Arabidopsis thaliana: one gene and its partners. The protein of the gene in region 2 interacts with the protein of the main gene of each other region in a pairwise test. Each region holds a gene or a part of one and is shown on either strand. Other genes may lie near its edges.

What was found.
Region 1: the proteins of TOE2 (region 2) and COP13 interact in binary tests that used the Arabidopsis thaliana proteins (3 or more experiments, as listed by UniProt).
Region 3: the proteins of TOE2 (region 2) and XRN4 interact in binary tests that used the Arabidopsis thaliana proteins (3 or more experiments, as listed by UniProt).

Annotation. Positions count from the first base shown.
Region 1 is NC_003076.8:4,595,884-4,602,072, reverse strand, and holds COP13 (Proteasome component (PCI) domain protein), read right to left. Parts: upstream 4,206-6,189; 5' UTR 4,104-4,205; coding exon 3,907-4,103; intron 3,725-3,906; coding exon 3,609-3,724; intron 3,509-3,608; coding exon 3,262-3,508; intron 3,126-3,261; coding exon 3,068-3,125; intron 2,981-3,067; coding exon 2,891-2,980; intron 2,691-2,890; coding exon 2,625-2,690; intron 2,472-2,624; coding exon 2,382-2,471; intron 2,294-2,381; coding exon 2,135-2,293; coding exon of another isoform or gene 2,087-2,134; exon of another isoform or gene 2,043-2,086; coding exon 1,921-2,042; intron 1,740-1,920; coding exon 1,667-1,739; intron 1,584-1,666; coding exon 1,512-1,583; 3' UTR 1,238-1,511; downstream 1-1,237. Other genes in the region: AT5G14260 (Rubisco methyltransferase family protein), read right to left, coding at 9-214, 376-451, 569-934; AT5G14240 (Thioredoxin superfamily protein), read left to right, coding at 4,505-4,752, 5,036-5,179, 5,280-5,485, 5,678-5,850. UniProt on the Arabidopsis thaliana protein: Component of the COP9 signalosome complex (CSN), a complex involved in various cellular and developmental processes such as photomorphogenesis and auxin and jasmonate responses.
Region 2 is NC_003076.8:24,205,335-24,212,810, reverse strand, and holds TOE2 (target of early activation tagged (EAT) 2), read right to left. Parts: upstream 5,123-7,476; 5' UTR 4,659-5,122; coding exon 4,126-4,658; intron 3,989-4,125; coding exon 3,963-3,988; intron 3,874-3,962; coding exon 3,843-3,873; intron 3,738-3,842; coding exon 3,650-3,737; intron 3,577-3,649; coding exon 3,431-3,576; intron 3,058-3,430; coding exon 2,969-3,057; intron 2,841-2,968; coding exon 2,650-2,840; coding exon of another isoform or gene 2,527-2,649; exon of another isoform or gene 2,516-2,526; coding exon 2,402-2,515; intron 2,233-2,401; exon of another isoform or gene 2,050-2,232; coding exon 1,744-2,049; 3' UTR 1,717-1,743; exon of another isoform or gene 1,350-1,716; 3' UTR 1,068-1,349; downstream 1-1,067. Other genes in the region: AT5G60130 (AP2/B3-like transcriptional factor family protein), read left to right, coding at 1-595, 680-940.
Region 3 is NC_003070.9:20,348,242-20,356,845, reverse strand, and holds the start of XRN4 (exoribonuclease 4), read right to left. Parts: upstream 6,738-8,604; 5' UTR 6,547-6,737; coding exon 6,340-6,546; exon of another isoform or gene 6,150-6,339; coding exon of another isoform or gene 6,117-6,149; intron 5,576-6,116; coding exon 5,473-5,575; intron 5,398-5,472; coding exon 5,321-5,397; intron 5,236-5,320; coding exon 5,044-5,235; intron 4,889-5,043; coding exon 4,769-4,888; intron 4,663-4,768; coding exon 4,600-4,662; intron 4,520-4,599; coding exon 4,385-4,519; intron 4,265-4,384; coding exon 4,100-4,264; intron 3,915-4,099; coding exon 3,837-3,914; intron 3,599-3,836; coding exon 3,512-3,598; intron 3,409-3,511; coding exon 3,328-3,408; intron 3,205-3,327; coding exon 3,109-3,204; intron 2,772-3,108; coding exon 2,701-2,771; intron 2,520-2,700; coding exon 2,391-2,519; intron 2,309-2,390; coding exon 2,232-2,308; intron 2,144-2,231; coding exon 2,103-2,143; intron 1,992-2,102; coding exon 1,917-1,991; intron 1,708-1,916; coding exon 1,556-1,707; intron 1,460-1,555; and 8 more. Other genes in the region: AT1G54475 (LRR receptor-like Serine/Threonine-kinase), read right to left, coding at 7,814-8,443.

The DNA.
Region 1 (6,189 bases), about 20 Mb from region 2:
CGCAATACCTTGGTAGGACTACCAGTTAGGTAATCTAACTCAGCCTCTGACCACAGCAAAGGGGATTCCGCATCTAACTGACCTCTTCCTCTTTGACGATCAAGTTCTCTTATATAGGGATACCATACTGATTTCTTTCCTTGTTTCTTCTCATACATCAAATACAAAGCTAGACAAGCCAGTTCGGATAATTTGTTCGTCGTCAACAGTTCAGCTGTGTGATAAAGAGAGTTTATATGGCTTCAGACAAGAATCAAAACACCCGTAATCCCACCCTTATCTAAGAGAAATCACAAAGTCTAATCCAAATATTATAGTGCATAACTGATGAAGTAGCTTTATGGAATAGGAAACATAATAGAGAATGTCTCATACCAATAGTCTCGTTTCCCAAAACTCTTTCCAGAGTAACCACCAGAGAATCAGGAACTGAAAACGCCACATCACCCTTCTGTAAAAGACAGGTAATTAGGAAAAATTTACCATCAAAACCCGGAAATTGATACTTGGAATACCCTATGGAACTGTGTATAAGCAAATAAAACTGTTGAAATGCTAAGTCAACCACCTGAAGATCCTCACTAGCAGCAACATAATGTATAGGTTTATGCTTCTGATCATGAGCTGGTCTCTCCTTGAGAATAACCTTGCAAGGTGGCAACCCATTCTTATCCATCCAAAACTTCAAATCCTCGGAGTCATCTCCTTCCTTCTTGCTCGATACTTTGCTCTGCCTCTCGTCTTCCTTTGGTGAACCGCTCGCGACTAAAGTATCTGAGCTCGAAACGCACAAGCTTCTTAGATGAACCGATCGCGATGAAGAGATCAATTTATTGTTCCTCCACCGAGGAAGTGAAGAAACCCTAGAAAGTGGGAAAGAACGAATTGGAAGAGAGACGCATTTCGTATGGAAACATGTGATAACCCCTTCCATCGGAATTATCAATTCCAAAATTCCGATTATGTCGAAACGTAAAGATTCTCCGGCGACGATTCTGAGGATTTTGCTCCGTTCTTCTTTTGCGTTTTCTCAGATTATTTTTTTCATTGAGGATAAGAGAGGGAAATGGAGAAATCAGGTTGAAAACGAAATGGGGAAGATGCGACATAAAAAATGAGTAAAGAAATAAAAATCTACGTGGCGCTTAGCGAGAATGGGCCTGAAACTAGCCCACCACAACAAGGAGTCTATCAGATTCCCCAAACGACACGCAGTTAAAAACGAGTTTGATACGACGCCGTTGAGACTTCTCTAACCCTTGCAAATGATAAAACGCTCGCGTAAGTTAGCACGAGAGATACACGCGCAAGGGGAAAATTTTTTAAGTAAAAGGGAAATAAAAGATTTGAGGGTCCATAATGGTCTTCTCTACTTGTTGGCAATTGTGACAAAAATATGAAACTTTTTAAACCAACAAAAATGAACAAAGAAATCAAAAGTAACATTCTCAAGATTCACACTACGGTTGTCTTTGAGCCAAGTTTTGTTGGTGCTTCTCGACTTTCGCTGTTTACATGGAGAACTTCTGAGGAACAGTATCGAAATCGTCTCCAAAGTCGTACCTTTGTCTTTCCCTTCCTACCTGAAAAAAAGTAGTCAAACGGCTTAGTCAGAGAAACATGGGTTTCCAGGACAGAAGACTAATGGAATATGGTATTAAATTACCTTTCCCAAGTATAAAGGGTCACATGATAAGCTCTCATCCATGGCTAAGAGATTCTTCGACAGACCAATAGTCCTGAAATTTTTATCAAAACACATAACTTGTTTGATGCTACTACTTTCCTTTGGCAAAACAGTCATCTCCATATCAACTTGATTCCAAGTGCTAATTATGCACTCCTTATTACGAGTTTCAACATTCAAGCAATGTTTCCCAAAAAAAAACCATATCAAAACACTTAGTTCTGTAGACATACCTTTGTATAACAGAATCCATGATCTCAATCATCTCACTAGATTTGTACTGCTCAGGGTCCTCCAAGAATCTGACCATCCCGTCTTTCTGGTTGATAAGGGCATGTATCTGACCATCCTGGATCTGCAGGTTTGTAAAGAAAAAAATGATATTGTCCAACATACCAGTTAAACTAATAAAGCTAGCTTCCAAAAATCAAGTGTGGGACACAATACCATCTGAAGCACATGCATTTCCGCCTCCTTAGCATTACCAAGTTGGACCATGTTGGCTATATCTTGAAGCGACAGGGTCAAGTACTTCTGTGTCAATCTCAGAATGTTACGCTTGTAAAGGGATGACACTGCTTGCTTAACTAATCCAAGGTTCTTATCCTGAAAGAGCATTTCGCCCAAGTTATGGAAGGGGATGAATATTTAATATTGGTACAGAAACTATGGTAAATGTTTAGAGGCAATTTACCTCTTCAAATTCTGCATTCCTGGCCACAACCAATGCCTCTAGTTCACCAATCTTCCCGTCGTTGTAACAATTACCCAGTTCAATGTAAGGCTGAGAAAAGGGTGAACGATAAAATCATAAGCCTGAAAATAGATTTAGCTGGTATGGAGTACAAAACAACTGAAATCTTTGGACTGAAGTGAAAAAGGGACCAGACTCCATTCAAACATGAAAAATACAACTAATGATCGGGTTCAAACTTACTCCGGTATAGTTCTTGAAGCTCCTCTGTGCTGCTGTAGAAGCACACTTGGGGAGAGTGTTAGTAAACTGCACAAGTAAAATCAAACAAGATTATAAGAAAAACATCATAAGATTAACCAATGCTTGAAATTAAAATCAGACACAGGATGTAATTGTGAAACCAACATTTCTCAAAAACATACAGTTGATTCAGACTCGTGCAATATGCTCCCATGACCGAAAACTAGATAAACAAAGAAAGTAAAATATAAAGAACACAGCCTTACCTGCCCATTGTGAATGAGAGACACCAATATGTACTTTTTGTACGCCTCAAGAGCTATGGCATTGACTTGATGCATAGGAGCAGTCACAACCTGATACAAGTACTTAGGTTGAGTTAAAACTAAAACGAAAGTCCTTAATGTATAAAAAGCACGTAAGAAAAAATAAAAATGCCTTACATTGTAAAGAAGCTCTAATGCTTTCTGAAATCTCTTCAGTCCAATACAAATCATTCCCCTATCAAAAGTCCAGGTAATCAAGGACCAGAATAAGAAAATACTATAAAACAAACCCAACAGGGATGGATTTAATGTGTTTACACATCTATTGATCAAAGGAAAAAAACAGATAGCAATGAGGAAAAATTGCTTACCCATAATAGCTATAGAGAAAAAAGTCTCTTGGCTGGTCAATCTCCACGATATCATCACTAAGAATGGAGAAACCAGATTTGTACGATTTCGCCTGCAAACAGAGTTGAAGAACATCTGGATGCAATGCAGTCAAACGCTTGGAGGAGACCTGAAGCTTCTGAACAGCGTTTAACAGTGGCCCTACTCCTCGCAACGGATCTCCCAGTGCTATAACATGGTCTTTCAATATCTTACAAAGAGATACAACTGCAAAATCAATATAATAACATCATCCATCTCCCCAAAGAAAAAAGAAAAGAAAACACATTAAGACAAGATAAGCTCTCATTAAGTGTCAGTAAATTACATTTATAGCTCGCCAAACGAATCTGCCCAGCATCACAAGAATTGATGAACCGTGCAATTATCGGTATCTCATAAGCAGCTTTCTCCTTCGACACTGGACCACAGGTAAGAACCTCACTGTAACAATCAAACCATACAAAAAACTCAAAGATCAGAAATCGAATAACATAGACAATTCTCCTTGTTAAACTTCGACCTAATCACACACATCAAGTTCCAATAACCAAAATCATCAATCAGCCTCAAAGTATACACAAACTAGTAACAAAAACCTAATCTACCAATAGGTTAAAACTCACAGGAAATACAGGTAACCGAGAGAGTGCTTCGAGGCGTCGAGCTGGTCAAGAGTAGAGAAATTAACACCTGGTTCGGCTCGGAGCGAGTCTTGAGCTCCTCTCAAAAGATCGTGAAGTGCAGATAAATCCTCTGGACTCCCCGATAAACCTTGGATTGACGTTATCACAGCCTCCACCGAGTTCACAGCTCCGATCATCTTCGATACTAAGACGAAAACACAAAAACCCTAATCGATCGCCCTTTTTCTCCCTCTCAAAATCTTTTGCTAAACTGTTTGTTTAATTATCTCTGGATCTTCTCCATAAAAATACATGCTCTCATAATATATATACGAACCCTCCGAACGGTTAAGAGTCTAATACATTACTCTAGAATAATAAACCAATATCTAACCGGCTTTTAAACCAAATATTCCCGGTTCGAAATGTACCAGATGGTAATTGTCGGTTTAGCCAGACCAATTTCGGGGATGGCCTTTTATCATTCGTCTTTCCAGAGAAAGAACGAGATTGCGATCACAGAGTGTCAAAGCAATCTGCTTTTTCTCCTCTCAGATTCAAAGGTTCTCTTTGAAGCTTCGTAGGTGGTTATACTTTGATGGCGGATTATCATTTCGTGTATAAGGACATTGAAGGAGCGTCAACTCAATGGGATGATATCCAGCGGAAATTGGGGAATCTACCGGAGAAGGCTCCGGCTTTCAAACCTCCGGCGTATACTCCGGCGGAAGACGAGTCTTCAGCTCCTAAGGATCAGGCATGGTTTGATAAGAAGACAGAGGAGGAGCTTGAGGATCTTGAGGACGACAAAGATCTCGACGATGATCGCTTTCTCGAAGAATACAGGTTCGTAGATCGAATCGAACATTCTGATTTTTGTATTTACAATCTTAACTTTCCCTGGAGAATCCTTGCCTTGGTGGATTGTGAATTCAATTTTCTCGGATCTGTTGCCATGTAGCTAGGGAATGCAATTATCAAGCTCTGGTTTTTCTCGATTCGTTTGTGTTTTGGATATGAATGCAATTGAGGGTAGTATCTTATTTGAGATGTTGATGAATAGGCTAAACATAATTGTGCAACACACTTCATGATTCACAGGCACTAATGTGTTTTGATGCTTTCATAGGAAGAAGAGGTTGTCTGAGCTAAGAGAGGCTGCTAAAGTTAAAAGATATGGAACAGTGACTCCCATCTCGGGCTCTGATTTCGTGAGGGAGGTTACGCAAGCTTCTGCTGAAGATTGGGTTGTTGTATGTCTCTATAAAGATGGGTATGTTTTTTCAAGTATTCGTGAACTCTTGTTGAGCCATTCTTTACTACATGCTTGAAACACTATTAACTCATGTTTATTTCTTGTTGTTCTCTGATAGTGTTGCAGAATGTAGTTTGCTATTGGGTTGTCTAGACGAATTGGGTAGTAGATACCCAGCAACAAAGTTCGTTAAGATAATATCTACTGATTGTATTCCGAACTACCCTGATTGCAATCTTCCTACCTTGCTGGTGTACCACCATGGCGCCATCAAAGGAACTCATGTAGGCTTAAAGAGCTTTGGCCGTAGGTGCACCCCAGAGAGTAAGTTTGAATGAACCCTTGTTTGTCTGATGTAATCTGTGCTTATTTGTGTTTGATGATTATGTCATGTCTCATCTCTAGCCTTTGTCTGATCTGAGACCTGATGTGACCACATTGGCGATTGTATCATGCTTTGAGCAGATTGGTCTTAGGCACATGTCTAACATACTTGCAACTGATTTGGTTTTTCAGGTGTAGCCTTACTTCTGTGTCAATCAGAGCCAGTTCTTAACGATGGCAAAGGAGGAGACGATGACTCCTCGAGGGAAGCTGTGATGGCTGGAGTTCGAAGACAGTTCATAGAACGAGTGGTGAAGGACCACGAAGATAAGGATAACGATGATGGTGGTTACAATAGTGATTAGAACTTCAAAGCTTCTCTGTTTATCTCTGTTGGTTATTGCTTGTTGAGTTGGTGACTGGTAAACAAAAGTGCTGACTTCTTGTGTGATGTAATGTTTTTTAAACATTTTGTAACTTTTGTTCTTTTGAAAGAGACAGGAACTTCATGTTGTTTTTTGATATCCAGGTATCACATGCCGAATTTTAGTGCTGGATCTAAGCCTGTGAATCCATGTAAGTTTAGAATAGTCTTTGTTTTGGACAAAGTAATAATCAAATTTGGAGAATCTCAAATCAACTGAGATGTTTTAGTTTTCATTCATGTGCAACTCGAACTACTTCACAGTTCACAAATATACTGC
Region 2 (7,476 bases):
TGAAACTGTAACTGTTAGAAGCATTTCTGGAAATATTTGGAAATTGGAGTTAAAGAAATGTTGTGGTGATGATGATACTGAGAAATTCGTTATGGTTAATGGGTGGAAGAGGATTGTGAAGGACGAAGATCTCAAGGGAGGAGATTTCTTAGAGTTTGAGTTTGATGGCTCTAGTTGTTTCCATTTCTGTATCTATGAGCATAGGACAATGTGTAAAAAGATAAGAAGAAGTTCAGATCAAAGCGAGGAGATCAAAGTGGAATCTGATAGTGATGAACAAAATCAGGCCAGTGATGATGTTTTATCTCTTGATGAGGATGATGACGATTCTGATTATAATTGTGGTGAAGACAATGATAGTGATGATTATGCTGATGAAGCTGCTGTCGAGAAAGATGATAATGATGCTGATGATGAAGATGTTGATAATGTTGCTGATGATGTTCCTGTTGAAGATGATGATTATGTTGAGGCTTTTGATTCTAGAGATCATGCTAAGGCTGATGATGATGATGAAGATGAAAGACAGTATCTGGATGATCGTGAGAACCCATCTTTTACTCTGATCCTTAATCCGAAGAAGAAAAGCCAACTGGTAAGTAAAAACTGAATGTGAAAGAGCTTTTCATTTAACATCGTTGGGTTGTGAGTTTTTATGATGTTTTTTTTCATAAAGCAGCTCATCCCAGCTCGGGTTATCAAAGACTATGACTTGCACTTCCCTGAGAGTATCACTCTTGTCGATCCACTTGTGAAAAAATTCGGGACATTGGAGAAGCAGATCAAGATTCAGACAAATGGTAGTGTGTTTGTCAAGGGATTTGGCAGTATCATCAGAAGGAATAAAGTGAAGACAACGGATAAGATGATATTTGAGATCAAGAAGACTGGTGATAATAACCTGGTTCAAACAATCAAGATTCACATTATCAGTGGATGATTATTTATATCTCTCTCTCTCTCTCTCTCTCTCCATCTCTCTGTCTTTAGTTACGTGTTTTGGAGTTAAATCAAGATTATTGTGGTGTATTGAATTAATGTAAGAGTTTTTAATTTCTAAAACTTATCAGATCTATACAAATTTATAGTCTCTCAAGTCTCAATAGCTTTCTTCATTCATACATATAGAATGCATTGTACTTTACGCTGTTCATATTAATATCAGAGACATTATAGTAAAATGGCAAATGGGTTTGGGTTCTGTTTTGGTATTATCCCTCAGTTTATGTTACAAATCAAAAGCAGAAAGATAAATCACACAATGACAATAAGTACAACAGATCTTGGGAGAATTCAGCGTCGTTTTGGCTGGCCTTCCAACTTATTCCAACCTCAGGGCTGTGTAGAACCTGCACGTTCACATACAAAGTATGTTATTACGTGTAGTATTGTAGGATCTTAGGAAAACTATTGCCTCAAATATGTGTTTGAGATTGACAGAGAAGCAGAAAACAGGAGGGTGATAATACTACACAACTTGGAACTCTTCCTTAGTCTTCTTCTATTCGCTAAGCATTCATCATACTTTTCATGTTTCCATCAAGATTCATATGAATACAAACATCTCAAACTCTTTTTCTTTAGTGGTCTTCTATCAAAATTTTTTTTTTTTTTCTTTTGGATTGTAAACGTAACGTATAACAGGAAGAGGAAACTACAGCTTGTGTGCTGAGCCAAACGATGAGTTGAATGTTGTTGTTTCCAAGAAAGTCTTACCTTGAGTTATGCGGAGGAAGGAGGAAGCTATGGTGGTGGTTGTGGGCGGTTCATGAGATTGTGTTGGTGCTGAGATATGTAATCAGATGGGTGGATAACATAGAGACCGGGCTGATTCAGATTGACGAAGGGCTGAGAAGGATGATGAATAGCTGTGGATGAAGGAGGGCGTGTAGCTGAGAGTGAGAATCCTGATGATGCTGCATTTGAAAACAGTGGCGGTGCTGTAGCTGCTACGGCGGTCCCACCACTGGACTGATCATGCCCTTGCCATGTCCTGGCTGGGAAGCTTTGATGAGAACGTAACATAAGCCCTTTCTCTGGTGTTCTTTCCTGGAGACAAGAATTTAACTTTTAGGACAGAAGATTATTCATTCAAATCTTCAAGAATATCACAACATAGAAGAAGAACTAACAAGCAACAACATAGACCTGTTCTCAAAGGATATCAAAGAGTTGAGCTCAAGTACTTAACTGATCAAATATCACAACAGTAACCACTTGATGAACATCTAGCTGAATTTCATATCACACAAATTACTCATAGGTAGGGTAAAGTTCGATAAATTTAAAATTGTCATTCTATTTCATATTGTATGTTAGTTCTGGACAGAAGGTAAAAATTGTGAGGCAGTGACAAACAGTTGGATATAACGAGATGTGTGCTATGGTATTTACTATTTACCATGGGTGAAAAGAACGCAGAAGGAAGGGCATGCCGGTTATTAAGATGGTCTGAACCCCTCTTCAAGAAATTGAAAGGCGTATCACATGCCGCTGCAGCCATGTGGTTCTCCATCTGTGAGTATATCAAATGAAGAGCAAGAAATTCATGAATAAATGAAAAAACATGAGGGCTCGAGCTAGCAAAGGAGACAGTATCTTTGAGTTCCAGATTGCTATGACATATCGACAAAGAAACATTTGACTAACAGTTGCAGCAAAACGCATATGAAAGTAAAGTAAATCATATTTGGTGCACTGAAGAAAAAATTGCACCATGGTGTTCCTTCCACATACGGAATTGTTAGGGACATGGTGAAGCCGGAGGGCCCTATCTTTTTGCTTCGGACCATCTCCTAGTGAAAGAGAGATTCCCAAGTTGAGGTCGAGCTTAACATTAGCTAAATAATAAGATCAGGAAAACAAGTTAGTCGTAGCTTTTCAAATATTGAGCAGAGATATCAATGATGACAGCAAAAGCTGCATAGCATCGACCAGTTTAACAAGCAAGGAACATCAATTACATTACCTGCCTCGGGAATCATTCGGGATGCATGAGGCTCAATTAAGGAAGCAGCTTCCCTTCCCTTCCATTGTACGGCTGCCTTGTCACAACCCCTAATTCCATAAGAATCTGAGCAATTAGTCATGAATTTTCCTAATAGATCAATAATTCAGGATAAAAGACTTCCTCATAATGTAATTTACAACCATCACTAGCGTACAGCTCATACTCAGATGACAATCATCCCAAGATAGATATAAATGTCTCATAGCCATCAAAATCTCTATATATAACTCATAATCACAAACGGGTCTTCCTGCTAATGGTTCTAACAGAAGCCCTTTTCAACTAACGAAAAATTACCAAACTCTTCATCTGAACCACTCCACTCTTTTTAGCAATGACTGACAACCACATTCAGACAAAAACACAAATAACATAGCATTTGTAAAAGCCCATACTTAGATCCCAGGAAAAGTTAATTACATGTTTCCATGAAGCTGCTCCATTTGAGCTCCCCACCCGCCAATCTTTTGCAAAGCAACTCCTTGATATCTAGAATTATTCCTTGAGAAACCAGAGCTCTGTCGCCGAAGTACTTGCACAACTTCCTCTTTGGAAAGATTCGCCATCTGTAAAGTTTGAAAACCAGATAAGAACAAATCAAAGCGTACATGTCTTCATTTGTACATCTGTAATCAAAACCTGCTTGAGATCCTCTTCATAATCGCCAATAACGAAATTGATGTCAGCTTCCAGACCCCGGAATTTGACAGCAGCTCGATCATACGCCCTACACCAACGAAAGTTGAACTTAGGAAACAATTGTATCATAACGAAAAAACAGTTGAGTGATCAATAAGATCAAACAAAAAAATATCATTTCCAAAGGCATTACCTAGCTGCAGCATGGGCAGTATCAAATCCACCTATTGAATTCAAAAGTTAAAGCTTTTATTAGAGAACTAAGATCCCAGCAGAAATCAGTTCACAGTAGTACAGCCATTAGAATCCATACCTAAATAAACTTGTTTACCGCAATCCCTGCAACCATGAAAATTGACAAAAAAGAAACTTGTAGATTAATACAAAATCTAAACCAAGCTCTTCCATTTTCGACCAAAGATCAACAACTCATCTAAGACCTATCTAAAAGATAAATCAATCAGTAGTAGATATACCAGATATGCGATTCCCATCTGCCTGTCCTCCGATAGAAAGTGACGCCTCTATACTGAGAACTCTTAGACCTAGGACCTCTCCTGCTTTTCTTCACCGGCTGTGATGGTGGCTGCATCACCCGTGAAGCATCGCCACCACCGCTCCCGCTACCTATAAAGTCTCCACCTTGTTTCCCCCTCTGGAAGGAAATATCAACGGTGCTCCTTGAACTTTGAGCGCTCGAATCCATAAAGTTCATGCCTTTAGCAACAGGAAAAAACTCCTTAGTCATCATCACAGCACTTCTTTCATCATCATCTTCTTCTTCTTCTTCTCCTCCTCCTTTCAGTATCTCAAATTGAAACTTGACCGTTCGTGTAGAGCACAACTCATCTTCACCATCTATACAGCTAGAAGCTTCAGCATTAACAACAGAAGAGTTCGACGTCACCGATTCATCCATCTGATTCAAAGAAACCCCTTTAACAGTAATCGAATCTCGTTCGTTCTGAGTAGACTCGGTCGAGTCGACGTCGAGATTGAGATCCAGCATCAATCTCAAAAAAGTCAACAAAAAAGCAAACAAAACTCTGAGCTTTCACAACAACAACAAAAACTATTTCTTCAAGCTCTTACTTACACATTGATCAATAAATTCAACGATCGCCGTCGATTTGAAATAAACAGAGCTCATAAATCACATTACATAGGTGAAAATCAGCACGAGTATGGAGAAATCAAACGGAGATTTAGATTCTGAAATCAATCAAAAACACGACGGAGGAGGAGAAGGAATAATAACCAAAGAGAAAGAAGGAAAAAGCTCAATCACTAAGGAGAGAAATGAGATTGAGGAGACATGGAGATGAAGAGTTGAGTATTGGTCTATGGGGATTTGAAGAGACAAAATAGCTATCGCCGGACGAAAGAGATAATCGTCGGCGATTAGAGAAAATAAAAAGAGAACGGGGAATGATGATGGGACGTAAGCCTGTGGGTTAGTGGCAACAAAGGAACATTTTAACATTTATTTATTCCTTCCATCTTTCTCGGCAATTTGATACCGGTTTTGCCTGTTTCCGGTTTGAAGTAAAAACGTGCTACTTGTTTTTGTTTTATTAGCTTGGTTTAAATTTATGATTAGTGCTTTTACAGTTTTACTATGATAAATTTACGGTTTAAACTGTATGTGTTAAGCTTTTCTGTGATTTCTTTACCAAGATAAGTTATTAAATACAGTATTAGTACTAAATAGATCTGTTAAGGCCTAGGGACAATGAGGTGCATTTTGTTCATGGAATGAGGATTTAATGGATGTGTTCATCTTGGTTAAATCAATTTGAAGCGTGTTCTTCGAAACATTTTGTAAACACATCTGAAAATCATCAAATTTAATTGGGGTTTCACTTTTTATCCTTGAACAAACTCAACTAAAGTGATTTAGTAATTCAAATTTATAGAATGAATCAAACGAAATTCGTTTTTGTATCCTATATAGTATATCTTATTATTAATCTGCAAACAAAGATTGGTAAAGAAAAGCGAATCTACACTATTATATTCACAACTTTGAAGACACATAAAAACCAAAAAACACTTTGAAGTCACATATTCATAGCTTTGAAGACAAAGCATTTGTTTTCATTTAATGGCGGGTCCTATATTTGCAGCTACGTCCTCCTCACAAACAAAAATCTGTAAAGACTTAAAAGAGTGAGATAGAATAATATGACTTTTTATTGATTTATATGGATAACAAGTATCCAACCAACGTAACAAATGTGTCACATGTAAAAAAAAATGTGTCACATGTTAGAAAAAGGTGTAGAAGCTAGCTATAATCAACAATTACATGCATAAAGTAACAAAAGTTATATCATTTTAAGAAGTTGTTATTATTACAAAAACGAATGTGTATGGAAAATAGTTAAAGATGATGGGGAAAAAAATCACTAACATCAGGTTTGATAGCTTTAGTTTTTCTTACTGGACATAGTGATGAAATTTTGTTTTAATTTCTAAGGTTTTGACACATTAATTACTATTGAAATTGAATGATGTATGTTATCTTCGCCTTGTTTGTAGCCAAGTTTTAGTAAGGCCTTGAATGAGTGTGGTTTTTAAACTAGTTTTTGGTTTTAATTTTTTCTAAAATCTATTTTGTAGCCATTCAAGATTTTGAGAAAACAAGTTTTCCTAAAATATAGGAAATCTAGTTTTTGAGTGTTTTAACAATTTTTCAAAGAAAACCAAAATCTATGTTTTGGGAGTTTCTCTCTCAAAAACAATCGATCACATTTTTTATTTTATTTTTAGATTTGTTTTGTAAAAAAAATACTATCCATTAACATAAAAACCAAAATCTAAACAAATTACCATTCAAGTTTTTTAAGAAACTAAAATCTACACCAAAAACAAAAACCAAGAAAATCAAAAACTAAAAACCAAAAACCAAAATCCAAAATCCAAAAACCATTTTAAAAACTACAAACATTCATGGCCTAAATAAAAATGAAGCATGTGTTTCCTAGTTCCTACAATATCACATTGTAAAAATCTATCAAGGCTAGAGAAAATTATCTCTGCATCAACTGTGTCTCAATTTTCTTTTAGATTTTCATTGAATGAATAGCTATAAGTAGAAAAAAAACACATATCCGATCAAACGTTGATAACACAAACATATTGTATCAAATCTTATGGTATCTTGTATTCATTAGTATTGTCTAAATCTCTAAGACTACTACATAGCTTGAGAGCAATGTGATACAAAGAGATCAACAAAGAAATGGATAGGTTTCCAAAATGGATAATTTCGAAAGTCTAAAACAAAATATATTTTGAGTACAAGAAGACATAGGAAAGAACAAAAGCCAATAAAGGGGGATTCTTTTACAATCAAAGGAAATTATTGTTTATTAAAAATAGAAATAAAATGTACGTAACAACGTATTATGTTCTTAACACAGGTTACGGGCGAAAAAATGAAAATGACCTAAAAATATCTATTCTTTGTGTCCATACGAATCTCTTTTTTCTTTGGAAATGTTTATTGAGTGGGGTAGGTCAAATGAACATTCCGACTGGTTTTAGCCGGTTGCCAAAACTTAAGAGTGTCAGAAAAATCTCGAAGATCATGGATTTTAACGAGTAGTATAAAGCCACGTGTACAACAGAGATTGAACCCCAGCCATTCAACTACTCTCTCAGCCATCTTAGGTCACATATCTGATCGGACGGCCCATGTCCATTCTTACTTTCCTTAAATTTAGGGAATTTAACAGTTTCACAATTTATCTAGTTTTTTTTTTTCATTTTCATGCCCACATTCCTTTCTTTCAATCTCTTTATCAAGATTTTACCAAGTACAA
Region 3 (8,604 bases), on a different chromosome or scaffold from region 2:
TAAGGACTCTAAACAAGTTTAATGTAATAAGTATATATAACAAAAGAAATGTCCAAAGGTACATTATACATTTGCCTTTAGCCAGAAATTTAAGAGAACTGATGGCAGATGATGCTACCATACATAAGACCATTGCAGCAAAAGAAAGGAACTCACCTGTACAGAAGAACCTCCTTATGCGCCTCAACTAATATCTCACAAGTTTGCACCTCGATGACTTGGTTGTGTCTTGGCCTGGTAAATTACTTTCTTTACCGATTTTCCATTTGTTTCACTGTACCCAACTCCATCCCTATAGTATCCACCGACAAAATTACCACCTGGCTGTGTACCGATCCATTGGGTGGGGGGTGATGGCAACGGGTTCAAATTTGCATTAGCAGCTTCTGTATAACTTGAATACAATTGTTTGCTTCTGCCGTTATCTTCTATCGATAAACCAGACATTCCAGCTCCAAGTCCACCACGGTTGTGCTGTTCTGCTACTATCTTGGAGTTGTAGTTCCGGTTATAGTCTTGTGACCCATTTGATGGATAAGGATATCTTGGACCATTGTTAAACGTTCCCTGTGTGCTATTGTTATACTTTCCATAGTAATAGCTCGAGTCATCGTCATAAGCTTTCCGGTAAGGAGACGGACCCGGTGCTCTTGGTCTATTGACTCCACCATAAGAATAATTACCCGGTACATTTCGGTAGTATCCGTTTGGGTCAATTAATCCCGAAGCCGCACCAGTAGAGGATTTCATGTTAAGGGTGTTTTTGATCAGACGATGAGCTGCTTCTCCCAGAGAAGGCCCTGCTATAGCTCCAACCACTTGCGGCCTGCACAATAGATATACCATATGGTTCTTTTAACATAATTCACACTATGATCTTCAAAATATCAGTCTGCAGTAAAATCTCCTTACCTATCTCGGGCTTGTCGGCGTCGGTTGCTATTGTCTTCATGCCATAAAGGAGGAAATGGCTTTATATCTACTGACGTCAAGATCTGCCAATTGAACTTTCATAAGAACACTTGTTTTGCAATGAATATTCAGCAGATAAATAGACTGGTAAGAAAACATAGACATTTGAGATGCAAGCAAGTAGATTCTCATAAACGCTATAAAAACCTAAGTTTCTATTTATTTTGATGCAGTAGAGATGGACTACTGTTCATGACGAATTCCTTTGAGGAATCATACCTTGTCCGGAATGATCGCTCCTCTGGGTGGTTCTGAGATATGAGAGTGTTTGGCAGGACACAGGTATGTAACATTTCTGGAAAATGTAGAGGAAAATATAAGTGAGTAAATCAAGACTTCATCAATTTCATGAACACTAACTTGTGAAGTACAAGAAACGCACAAGGCTCGGTTCTGCTCAATGCATGGCAAACCATTGACAGGGGAATCCACTCTAGTTTGGAAACCATTCCTTTCACTAAACCAAAGAAAACCGTTCATTCCTTGGCTGCAACAAACACAAACGAATTGATGATTAAGAACAAGCTCGATATCCAGAGTACACACAGCTTGTTAGTTATCAATTTAGCCAATAAAAACAAACCTAGAATTCGGGTCAATCATCCATGGAAGACATTCATGTGGTGGCATGTGCTGGTAGAAATGATAGTACTGCAGAATCCGCTGGCCCAGTGGATGAGCGGGGTGTACGTATAACAAATCAAGCATCACACTGTTGCGTTGTTGTTCTTCCACCTGAAAGATGGATCCATATTGTAGTTAATCATAAACTGCCATGAAAACTGATGGCTAGAGCAATCTAAGCTATAAAACTACTTTATAACTAGCAAATAAACCATCCTGCAGGTCCAAGAATCATCTTTCAGAAAGAATTATAGTTTCCTTTGGAGAGAATAAAGTTTTGATCAAACATTATGCATTTCGAGTCAAGGTTCAGTTCAAACCGTTAGAGTTTCTTCAAGCTTCCTTGTAGCAGCTAACAATAATTTCTCCTCAATGAAAGGAAGTTTTGCAATACCCTAGATAACAACAAGCGCAAAACACACAACATCAACAGCTGAAGAACAAAATACACAGTCTCAGCATGATAACATCAATACTATATCCAAAGAATACAAACAACCATGAACCTGCCAGGCGAAGCGCTTTCCATTCATGTCAAGCTCAAAATCTATAAATAGAATGATAGCTTATGAGTGTCAACTATCCAGCATGAATATATAGGAAAACAACAATACAAATTCAGTATCAACAATTACCAGCAGGGTAAAATTTAAGTATCGGGGATGAGGGATCAGTCATCAACTTCCGGTATTCTCCAGGCAGCGCATTTGAGCTGCAACAACCAAGAAACACAATTTACATCACCATAGAGGCCCACAATATTAATAATTAAGGTTCCAAAAAAAGGGAAGAACCTTGCAGCCGGCAGGGTTCCCATTAACTGGTCAAAAGGTTTAAAGGGCTCTCCAATAAAAAATGTGATTTCTAAATCAGGTAGATTCTTAAGATCTGAAGCAAATGGAGCATAATGGTATGGGTAAAACCTGAAACAATTAGAAGAAAGTGTAAGAAAACACAAAATTACATTTAAAATTTGCAGCTTAGTATTTCTCAGTAAGTGACATCAACATCAAGGTCTTTCCCGAGAAGAGACCAAGTTTTTGTTAGAATGCATGGCTCTCATGGGAATAACATGACATTAAGTTTTTGTAAAGTCAGACTTACCATTGCCAAGAGCATACACCTTGGTAGTAGTACCGGCAAACCCAGCACAAACCTTCAACATATTTCAGTACCTACAACGAAAATAGGTAATGAATGATCAGAATAGATAACTAGTTATTGTTCATCCAATTCCAAACTGTTTTGAGAGTCACTTCAATGAAGTAGTTCATATCGCGCTATAAGCCTCCATAAAAGAAAAAAAAAGAACTGTGAAAATATTAAGAGCTAAATTCCGTGGGCAGAAATTTTCAACATGAGGGAGTTAATAGGATGTTAAAAAGTCTAAATGCACACATAATCAAAGTAGCACATCGCCAAAAGATACCTTTTTCCAACTTTAGACTTATTATAACAAATCATTAGAGATTCAGAAGAGTGACAGAGAGCGTTAATTGACGTAAAACTCACCATGTCTTGTTTGATTTGCTCAGTTTCCTCTGGATTGGTCGTACTAAATTTCTCAGCATAATACCTCTCCTTGTAGCCTGGTTCTCCTAATTTAATCTACCCAAAATGAAAGAGCAGTTTTAGTCGTTCCTCCTACACTAATTTCCTTTTCAATAAATATATAAGAATCTCTCCAGCTCACAGGCACATATAAGAGTTCTTTGCAGTAAACTATTTTACCTTATCGTCTATCGGTTCAGGTGGTACCTCAGATGGGTCCCTTCTAGATCTTTGCTTCATTTCTTCATTGTTATCCATTGACTGATACCAACATCAACACACCATTAGCCTCATAAGGGTGTGAGCACAGTTCCTAAAGCCTCCAAAGGGTTGTGTAGGAAAATAGGGTAAAGGTTAAGATTACCTGTTTTATCCGCGTTCTTTTCTGAAATATTTTATCTTCATTTACAGCGACAGCTTGAATGAAATGCTCTACCCTATCTAGTAAAACCTATCAATGGAGAAAAAAAGAAGTTGTCAATGGGTTAACGATTAAAAGAAATGAAGCCCACAGATATAATGCAGTTCCGATTTTCATTAGTAATCATATAGCCAGACTAAATAGAAGCGAGAAAATAGTTTCCACAAGATAACTGACCATTTCTACAGCTCATACAAAATAGGGTATTGAGCAATGTCAAGCGAGAATGAAATGTGGGAGAAGATTAAAAAAAGAAACAATAACTTACCTCACCAGAATCTGTTAGATAGCCTCCCATAGCTGTAAACTCCTTTCTGTAAACATGCATCAGCAAGTTTATAGCCCCCTGAAGTAACAAAGAAACTTGGTTTAAAGAAACAGACTAATTTTTCAGTGCCTCAGTGGTATTGTAGAGCATGAAACAGGATATTTATCTTCCACAAGGCTATTACTATATTTTCTAATCTACACAACCATCACTTTACGAACAGCCAATCCTTTAAGGAATAAAAAGCTATACCATGTACATACCTCTCGAATTTCCAGTGTAGGCATATGAGGTAGGAAGTCATTACCAACAAAAAAGCAAAGGAATACAAAGTCGTCTATTATTCTCTCAAAGTTGATCATAAAAGGAGGATCTGGAATGGCCAATTCATATTGCAGATATTCTCGCAACACCCAAATGTTCAGGAACTATTTTCAAAAAAAAAATTACATCAGACAAATAAGAGAAAGCTCCAAAAGTAAAATAAAATAATTTTCTGTTGTTCACTGCAGCAAGATCTCTTGGAGATAACAAGGAAAACTACAAACCTGATATTTTTTCTTGTGGATTGGAATATCAGCTGCTGCATTATTGCTACCTGATTTTCCAGGGCAATCTGAAGCAAAGTGGCCAGTTTGTCCACACACAAAGCATTTCTCTTGCTGCCCAGGGTAAGTGATAACCTGGAATCAAAAAGATGACCCATCATTTGATCAACTGAATATCAAAGAAAATATAGAGCGTAGGGGTGGAAATCAGCTACCTCTCTTAAGATGGAAAAGTGAACTTCATGTGTAGCTAAGGAGAGCATTATCAAATCTGCATCCTGCATAATAATATACAGTTGGCAAATGTAATGTGCAAATTTTTGGACGAAGCACCAACACCTTATTTAAGAAAATAAAACAAGTACATTATGGGTTGACACTAACCAGACCATATAGACAATGCCGTGTATTTGGATCAAAACCAGGAAGATTACGTTGGAGACGAATGTATGACATTATCTTGTGTTCTCCTTCTCCCGGAACATTTGAATCAGAAAGAATTACCTTCAAATAATAATCCACGACTTCTTAGGGAGACAAATTACCTTTAAAACCAAAAGTAAAGGGACAACACCAAAAAAAAAAGAGAAACTGCAAGAATGCGAAAAGTCTTGTACAGTTTGGAAATAGCTGCTAAGTTAGATGAAACAGTATCACACCTTAACATATCTCCAGCCAGGGTTATGGTTTAACCTAGATTGGATGTAATACTGAAGAGCGACTGACAGTATAGCCATAAAAGGGGTCCCAGGAGTAATGACATTTGAATCACAGGTTTCAGCTTTCTCTTTAGCGGACAAGATTTGGCCCTCCATCTCAAAATCTTTTCTCAACCTCTCTTCCTCAGCTTCCTATTAAACCAGAAATAGTATAAGCAACAGTGACCCATGTAAAGCCAAGAGTAAATGTAAAAATAGAAACACAAAGAGAACATACAGCCTCTGCTGCGTCCTTTGCAGCTCTGAAACGTCGAGAACGCTGCTGATTCATCTTTGCTCTCGGCGCAACTCCATCTGCAACAGTATATTTAATCAACCACATCTCACAGAGCAAAACAGACAGATGATAAAAAGGAAACACAAGATCACCTATAGCCAAATAAAGAATCTTCCTCGGACGCACTAAAGTAAAAAGATGGTCAATGTACTCAAACATTGATTTAAATACATCATCGTACGTGGCAGGTGCAGGCTGCATTGTAATCAAAGTACGATTAGCTAGTAAAATCTTTAATGGAAATCAAGTATCACCATAACACGTATTGCTATGCAAACTCACTCCCTTCGATAATATCTCCTCAACTATAATGAAAAACTAATAACATCAGTGTCTTTTAATTTTCTAGTCAACTATTTTTATAAAAAAACTGACTTTAGACTCGCATAAGTGATACATGAACAAAATACACACAGCCATAAGCATCCAATTTCCCAAATAATATATCTAAATCACTTTCTGAACTGAACTTTAGATCCCAAAATCTAGTATCACAAAAATGGCCATTGCTTCTATTGACTTTCGGTAAGCAAAAATAGTCGGAAAGCAACAACTAGTACACTCCTCCCTTCCCCAATAAAAGAGCTAAATTATGAACACCAAAAAAAAATCATCTTCTCACCAAAATACCAAACTTAGTGATTTCATTTCTCATACGATCCATGTCTACTTGTTACTGCCTAATACAATCAACTCAAACTCTAATCATACACTTCAGAAAAGTTAGATACCCTACGTCTAGTATCACCAAGTTGGCCATCGCTTCCATTGACGTGCAGGAAGCAAAATCGAGGAAAAGCAACAACTAGTATACTTCTCCTTCTCTCATAACTGTACTAAACTACGAATACAGACAACAATAATCTTCTCCACCACCAAACTACTAAACTCATTGATTTCATTTCTCATACAACAAATCAACTCAAACCCTAACCAAACATTTCTGAGCTACAACATACCTTTCCTTCAGGATGGAAACAAGGATGAATGATACCATTCATATCGAGATACAAATTATCAAATTCGAAGCCGTTAGGGTTAGGTCTGGTGATATCAACAGGAATAAGGTCACCACGACCTCCATCGGTAGGTTCTTCTTCAACGACGTCACTAATTGACTTCGGGTATCGGTCAGCGAGCCATCTGTAGAACGCCGGTACTCCCATGGCGGATTCCGATCGGCGATTAGAGAGAGATCCGAGTGGTCTCGAGCTTGAAGGTTATCTAAATATTCTTCTAACTTAGTTTTTCTTTAGCTGTCACCAAAGTTGTTAGACATGATTGAGCAGAAGAAGCTTCTCTTCACCCCAAATATTTATTTTTCCGATTAACCTCTGAGTTCTTTTTTACCCTATCCGTGAAGTCTCTCCGGTTTCTAATTATTATTCTCTTGGAAATAAATGGGCTTTATTGGGCCGGATTTACTTTACCCACTTTGTTCAAACGGGTTTAGTTGTGGTCTCAAAGTGACGTAATGAGATTTTCTTGGTTTTTATTACCAAACTAAGCATTCATCTCTAGGATTTAGTAACTTAACACAATAAGCCACAAATTCTTAAATTTTATGAGATATGGTTTTCTTCATTAGAAATTTAGAACTCGGCAAGTTCCTAAGTTTCTATTGGGAGAATTATCTTTGCAAAATCATATCCCTAAACGATAATAACCTTGGCAATGAGTAGGGTTATCCAAATTAAAGTCTAAAACTGTACAATAAGATATGCACTTTGTTTCATCACCTATACGTTATTTGTCCGAAAGTATCTAGATACCACAACAAAGTTCAAGTTTACCCTCCTGCATCTAGCAATCAAGAATTTACTATATATATTACCCTTGTGAACTATAGTTAGTTACATACTCATTTAACCATATATAGTTATGAGTTATGATAGAGTTATACTTGTAATTGTGACAGTTATATTCATAGTTATGAGAGAGTTAGTAATTTAGTTTGGTGATATTAAGTTTGTCACCACTTTCATATCAACGTTTTCCCATTTCAATCAGACTCAAGTCTATCACAGCCAATACGGACTTACTATGTCACAACTATTTCTAAAAGTTGATTCCATTAATTAACAAATTTACTAGGACGTAGAATAAGTCTAGAGTCAATGTTGTGCTACTTTAGTCATTAATTTGTTACATTAACTATGTCGCTATGAAAAATAAATCCATTGAAAGAAACAGCTCTGTCGTTACCAAATATATATCTCTTAAAAAAAAATTGTTACTTACTTTTTTCTCTATCACTAAAAGAATAAATCTGTCAAAAAAAACTATCGATCGTACACAATAATTCTTCCATACGACTCATTACCGTGTATGGTAAAATCCAAAGCACACATTATTATTAACCATGTCAGGTAAAATCCAAAGCAATATAGTTATAGAAACACAATGGTACGTAAAAACTGAAGTGAAATGATTTTAAGGCAACATACTTTTGACTGAGGCGATGGAAGCATCGACAATGCGGAGCCATGCTCGACGCAAAGGACAATCAAAGCACATAAGTATAAAAATGCCTATCAATGTAGTTACATAAGTCGAAGCACTACTAAAATAGAAGGCCAACATATCAACAGGAGCTTCATCATCTTCTTCTTCTCCTCCATTTTCTGATTCATCTGAGGTCTTCTTAGCATCACAACTTCTATTGGTCGGTGGTCCACAAAGAAGAGGATTTCCCAAGTAGCTTTTCTCGTCAAAGGTATTAAACTGCCTTCCTTGGGGAATGATTCCGGATAAATTATTGTAAGACACATCAAAGACAACAAGAGAAGAAAGGTTGGTTAGTTGTTGAGGAATACTTCCTTGTAACATGTTATGCGAAAGGTCAAGGCTCTCAATATCCTTGAGATTGGAGAAGCTAGATGGTATTGAACTGGACAAGAAGTTGCAAGATAAATTCATGACTCGTAGCTTTGAGAGACTTCCAAGCTCTGCTGGGATAACCCCACTTAACTCATTGCTTGATAGGTCCATTCCATACATATAATCAAGTACGTCATTGTTGAATTCAGTTGCTCCAAAATAAGAATCATACCTTCGCTTCATTGAAAATTTGATTTCAATTTCTTGAAAACTAGAGGATATTACCACAAAATCCTCTACCACAAATGTGGATTCGTAAAACTTGAACGGAGTAATCTTCGTTATGGCTGTACCTACATATGAATTTGTATCCTCTGGTCCAAATGATAAATTATATAGACATG